Linked DNA regions of Rattus norvegicus. Each later gene encodes a partner of the first gene's protein in a complex. Links are inferred from orthologs where the notes say so. Each region holds a gene or a part of one and is shown on either strand. Other genes may lie near its edges.

Region 1 (2,739 bases):
CCAATATTCTTTTCTGGCCTCCCCAGGCACAGACACACATGCAGGCAAAACATCCCCACACAAAGAGTGAAGTGAAGTAGCAGCAACAACAGTCTGAACTGAATCAGTTTTTGGGGACAGACCACATATGTATTATATACTCCACCCTGGCCTTGATTTTGGGATCTTTTTATTGGAGCCCCTGAGTACCTATCTACTCCAGATAGACATTTTAATAAACCCCTTCCTTCAATGTGAAGCAAATAAGCCCAATACCCTGTGTTAAGAACAAGGACTGAGGAACTTGCTTCCCTACCATTACTAGAATGCCCCCCTCTCTACTCTGCCTACTTCCCTGTCTAACTGTGTGTACATTTCATTCTGTAGGAATACATCATCTGCGCTCATTGTCTGGGAAAGTCTTTCCTGTAGGCATATTTACATACAAAATAACAAAAGGTAGACTTCATTATAACCAGAAGAAATACAGCTTGTTAACAAAGTATTCTTTAAAAATATTTTAATCTAGCATGGATGCTGTTTCTCAGGCTGTACTGCCAAAGGGAATTAAGTCATTAGCTGAATCGCGAATACTGAATCATGGGCATTTTAGCAAAAATTAAAAAGACTGCAAATTGCTTAACAGATCTCAGATTGATGTTAAGATAGTGAGTGCAAGGAGTCAAATCTGAGTCCTCTAGAAGAGCAACTAGTCTCTCTCTTTTTTTTTTTTTTTTGGTCTTTTTTTCGGAGCTGGGGACCGAACCCAGGGCCTTGTGCTTCCTAGGCAAGCGCTCTACCACTGAGCTAACTCCCCAGCCCCGCAACTAGTCTCTTAACCACTGAACCACCTCTCCAGGCTCTAACATTATCATGTGTGCAAACATGCTCGCACACATAAGTGCCTGGCTGTGTGTGTAGCAGTCAGAAGACAATTTCCAGGAGTGGGTTTACTGCTTCCACAGAAAGCTCTGGGCATCATCAGCATTTGAACCGAGTGCCTTTACAAATTGAGCCATTTTAATAGCTCTTACATGTATTTTAAATCTAAAGTAATGAAGTGGATGTTCGAAAGATAAAGCTATGTTAAGATCTGTTTTCTGGGGCTTGGGGATTTAGCTCAGTGGTAGAGCGCTTGCCTAGCAAGCACAAGGCCCTGGGTTCGGTCCCCAGCTCTGGGGGAAAAAAAAAATCTGTTTTCTGATTGTTGACATAAACTCTGTCATTAGCAGAGTGAATGTGAACCTGATCACGTTTCTCCTCACTAGTGATATGCTAATAAAGTCTGGTATACTTAAAGATCACTAGAAATGTATACATACCACAGGTTGCTTTGTGATGTCCACCAAGTCCTTAAGATTATAGTACTGATGTTTCTCAAAGGCTGAGAACAGCATGTCTAGGACGTGTTGTTTGTCTGCCCGAGCTCGCTTTCCATCTTCTTTCTTCTTCCTTTCATATTCAATCTGTAGGCAAAAACAAAAGAAAGGTATCAACTCAGCATCTGGAAAGAAATCATTTGGAAATAGTCTGAGTCACCTGAAACCTCACTTAAAGTCTCACACCATCAGGCCTCTGGCAGGGACTCCCATTACCTTTCAGGTTCAGGACAGTTGTAACAGAGGTCTGTAAACCACTTTCAGTCTCTTGTGAAGCTTTATGTAACACATTCATTTCTCCCCAAGGAGGGTTTCTTCCTGGTTAGCCCAGAAGCTAACATGCAGTTCCTTAGTTTTTGATTAATCAAGGTACAGTGAGATATGTTTATGAATTAAACTGCATGCTCTAGGAGTTTAGGGCACAAGCTTGTTCCAGCGCAGGTTCAACTGGGAAGTCTGGGGAGCACTAGTGAAGAGCAGAGGAGCAAAGTCAGCCTCCTCCTCTCTCAGCCCATGCTTTACCACTGTACATAGAAGTAGGTTCCGCAACAAGAAAGGTAGATACACTCAGCGCTGATGCCAGTAAATTATTTTTTCTACATTTTCATTTTATCTCACATCAGGTGTCCTCGAAGTTTCCATGTATAATATTCTCTAATTTTTACCATAAAAGTACTTCTTATTCAAATAAAATCAAGACATCATCTTCACACACATCAGAATGGGAAGCAACTCTCAGCTCTCACAAGCGAAGCTTCTTTTTGAGGCAGATGGAGAACATTACAAAAAGCTACAAATGGCCAAAACTGGAGAACAACTGGCCTTGGGATGCCTATCACCAACAGATATATTCACAACACAACCCAGGAACATGGCAGAGGAGGGAGTGGAAAGACCATGAAAAGCCACAGGATCAGGACATCTGACGTGAGACAGTATCTTCTGTATGTGACAGAGAAGCTGCACTCATTAACTGCAGCACTATATAGAGTTGCCTAACCAAAACCTGAATGACAGCCTACATGCAGCTCGAATGGGGAATCTCCAAGTCCTGCCTCTACATGAAGGGTCACAGCAACTGAGGACCGTGGAGACACAGAGTCACATCCTCCTCAGGGATGAGCCCCTAACCGGTTGGTTATCCAATACAAGTGGTCAGTGTTCTATATAAGAGCAACACTAGACGAACCCAGTAGCTGGGATGTATGTACACACACACACACACACACACACACACACACACATTCGTTTGGTGCCAACCTGACCTTAAACCCAAGTTATCTGAACTTAAGTTGAGAAGGATGGGGCCATCCCTGGGCTGGTGGTCCTGGGTTCCATGACTTCTCCATCAGCTCCTGCCTCTAGGATCCTGCCCTGTTTG
Region 2 (3,753 bases), on another chromosome or scaffold:
TTTCTGGTCTGGAGACTGTTCAATGTTTATCTTGTGTAAGTTTGAGTGTACACACACACAAGTGCCTGTGGAAGCCGGAAAAGGGTGAGATTCCCTGAAGCTGGAGTTGTTCTACCTGGTGCTGGGAATGAAGGTTTTGCTCCCTGGAAAATTGGCAAGTGTTGACAACCTCTAAGCCATCCCTCTCGTCAGCCTATCGTAAGAAGAGAAATAGAAATCTGATGGTGTGGTGGCACACTCCAGTATGCCTAGCACTTGGAAAGTGGAAGTAAGAGAACTAGGAGTTTGAACTCCACCTGGGCTACATAGTAAGATTCTGTCTCAAGAGCAAAGGCAAATGAAGTTTACTCCAGGACTGGAGTTACTTTTGTAACTCAAAAGTAGAGTGTATATACAGCATGCATGAAATCCCCAGCCTTCTCAGGACCAACACACTACCAGCATCACCGGCCTCTTTTAAAAACAAATAAACCGGGGCTGGGGATTTAGCTCAGTGGTAGAGCGCTTACCTAGGAAGCGCAAGGCCCTGGGTTCGGTCCCCAGCTCCGAAAAAAAGAACCAAAAAAAAAAAAAACAAAAAAAAAAAAACAAAAAAAAAAAAAAAACAAATAAACCAACAAAAAAACCAACCAACTAACCAGCCAACCAATCATTATTCTCTTTCTCCTCCTGCTACAGTCTAATTCCATATTCCCTTATGGTGGAGAAAACAAACAAAACAAACAAACGTAAGGCCAAGACAACACTGCCATTTTCATGGCCTCCAGTTACCGGGTCCACATACACCACCAGGACAACCTTTCCTGTTCTCTCCTTCTACTTGTGCAGCAAAAACACCTTTACCACTGAGCCATTCCATCAGCCTCCTGTAGCACAAAATGTATGAGGAAGCTGCCAAACCCACTGTTGCCAATTCTTCTCTTCCCTGTCATATTCTCGCCTCAGTAAGACTTTCAACACACCCTCAAGCTCCAAAGCCACCCTTTGTGTGCTCACCGATTAACCCAGCCCTCCCAAAGTGTCTCTCTGTGCTGCCTGGCTGTCCTGGAATTCACTCCATAACCAGGCTGGCCTTGAACTCAGAGATCCCTCTGCCCCTGTCTGCCCTGAGTGCTGGGACCAAACACTTGCACCACTCCCAGCTTCACTAACGATCATTACAGTGCTGAACCCTTGCCACAGACATTCATCCGACAGCCAGCACACCGGGCTCCTTCCTCCTGCTTCCCACTCTGGGGAAGGGGCTCCTTTTCTGGGTTCTCTTCCCTCAGTCACTAACTAGCCATCTCTTCTCTGGTGGCACTCTGCCCTGGTCAGCACTGCCATCTCTGCTTTCATTGCATTTTTGCCTGTGTTTTGTCTGCTTGTGTTGAAGTCAGTTTTCCTGAATACTATGTAACTCTGGCTGGCCTGAGACTCACTATTTAGCACAGATTGACATCTAGTTCATGGCAATTCTCCTGCCTTAGCCTCTCCCAAGTGCTAGGATTATACCTGTGAGCCACCACACCCAGCCTCTGAGTTCTGACTGATACATCTATACTACTGATATAGCTGGACTACCATAGTTTATCTTTTGACCTAACACATACAGCCAGCCCATCAGGGAATCCCTTAGGTTCTATCTTTAAAATATATCAGGAGCCAGGCATGGTGGCACACGCCTGTAATCCAGTGCTCAGGAGGTAAAGGCAGGCAGATCTCTGTAAGTTTGAGGACAGCCTAATCTACACACTGACTTTCAGAACAGCTAGGACTATGTAGAGAGACTCTGTCTCAAAAAAGAACAAAAATACCCATCACTTGGAAGGCAGAGGTAGATGGATCTCTAAGTTCGAACCACCTGATATATGGTTATATTTGTTCTCCAAATAAATAAAATAAAAATATGTCTATAATCCAGCTGGGTCTGGTAGCACATACCAGACATACCAACACTTGGGAAGCTGAAGCAAAAGACTGTAGCAAATTCAAAGCTAGTCTTAGCTACATCATGAATCCCCGGCCAGCCTGGGTTTCAGAGTGAGACTTTGTCTCAAACAACACTAAACTTCAAGCTCTCCAGAGTCCACTCCCACTTCTGGCCACCTTTGCTACTATCTCACCTAGTCCAAGTCCGCGTCTGCTCCCAGCCTTCCAGGCCATTCTCTGGGTTGCTCTTTCCTCCCTACTTCCACGACTACGCAAGCTACACCACTGGCATTCACTTCCAGAAAGGGAGCGCTCGGTGGGCAGGGGCTACACGGACGAAATCTCTGCCCACTGTCCCCACTGCTCCGCGAGGTAATAAGTTCTGAAGACTTCGCCCCACCGACCCACTAGCCTGTACTCCAGGAGCCCGGCTTGCACCACAACCTCCGTCCCTCCGTGGCCCGCGCTCACTTGTCTTCGTTGTCTGACATGATACCTTCTCCTTACTGGCCGGTCCGGGTCGCAGAGCAGAGAAACGCGCGCTTCAGCCCCTTGCGGCAACACGTGTGGTTTGCGCTTGCGCCGTGACCTAGGCGCAATCACTTCCGGGAGGCAGTCGATCGCGAGCGCTAATGCGCGTGCGTGGGGGCGTGTCTGCTAGTTACCATGGTAATAAGGAGTGCTTGGTGAGGACGCTCACACTCTGGCTCCCCGGAGGATTTCCGTGAGGAAGGCTCTGTCACGCCCGGGTCATCGCTGATGGTGAGCGCTCCGCCCTAGACCGTCAGGATAAGGACTGTGGTCACCGCGCTGTCCGGAGCCGAGGGGTCGAGCACCAGCTTCTCAGTCTCCTAGGTTGCTAGCGATGAGAGGTCTGTCTGCGACGCGGGAAGAGGGCTGGTCATTCCTTCTCTCCCTCCTAGAACCCTCCCATGGCTTCACAGGAGAGGGTGGACGCAGTGGCAAACGGAACCGGGTTCCACCGCTGCCGTAAGCAAGCCGCTTACACGCCGGGGACCTGTGAGCTTCTCAGAGGTTAGTGCATTAGCGGACCAAAGACTTGAGCGGTGCGGTTTTCCCTTAAGAGCTTGGGATTCAGAAGGGTTCTGGGGAGAATCAAAGGCCAGAGATGGAGAATTTTGGAATGGTTAGCTCATCTTTTACGTGCACTTTCAATGAAGCCTATCTCCTTCCCACCACAGTAGGACCTTCACAGTACCACATTCAACTCCCTTCACCGGGTTTAGCATAATATATAGTCTTACAGGTGTTTAGTGTCCCAGCTATCATCTTCTAAATGGTGAATGCCACCAGGCAAAGAACGAGCCAGCTTCCGCACACAATTGTAGCTCCAGACTCTGCTATGTGAATGAACCTGCATGCATTTAATTATTCAACGACTAAAAACCCAATATATGATTTGGATATTGTCCTAGGTATTCGGAATAGAGTGTTGAGAGGATTGCGAAAGCCAATTCTTGCTCTTATAGAGCTAATAGTACAGGAGGGTAACAAGAAAAATTAACAATAGAAAATTATAGAGCTGGGGTGTCACTCAGTGATAGAGTATATTCTAGGCAGATGTGAAGTCTGGATTTCAGTCCCAGCACACCACACGCCAAAATAAGTGTGTGTGTTACAGTTGGAGAGATGGCTCAGTGGTTAAGAGCATTTACTACTCTTTGAAAGTTCAGTCCCCAGCACCCATGTTAGCCAGTCACCAAAAAAGTGTGTGTTTGTCTTAGGCAGATATAAAGCTATGCAAGCTTACTACTTGGGAGGATCGCCTGAGCCCAAGAAAAGCGAGTCTGTATAATATAGTAAGAACCTATCCTTAATATA

The links. The genes of interacting proteins can lie anywhere in the genome.
Region 2: Gtf2f2 (region 1) and Polr2f share a complex: the UniProt entries of both Homo sapiens proteins name them as parts of the TBP-based Pol II pre-initiation complex. The link is inferred for Rattus norvegicus from reciprocal best matches to the Homo sapiens genes GTF2F2 and POLR2F.

Annotation. Positions count from the first base shown.
Region 1 is NC_086033.1:57,628,409-57,631,147, forward strand, and holds part of Gtf2f2 (general transcription factor IIF subunit 2), read right to left. Parts: exon of another isoform or gene 1,446-2,739; coding exon 1,302-1,445; exon of another isoform or gene 1-1,301. UniProt on the Homo sapiens protein: TFIIF is a general transcription initiation factor that binds to RNA polymerase II and helps to recruit it to the initiation complex in collaboration with TFIIB.
Region 2 is NC_086025.1:112,591,758-112,595,510, reverse strand, and holds the start of Polr2f (DNA-directed RNA polymerases I, II, and III subunit RPABC2), read right to left. Parts: upstream 2,448-3,753; 5' UTR 2,403-2,447; coding exon 2,383-2,402; intron 1-2,382. Other genes in the region: C7h22orf23 (UPF0193 protein EVG1), read left to right, coding at 2,671-2,673, 2,835-2,946. UniProt on the Homo sapiens protein: DNA-dependent RNA polymerase catalyzes the transcription of DNA into RNA using the four ribonucleoside triphosphates as substrates.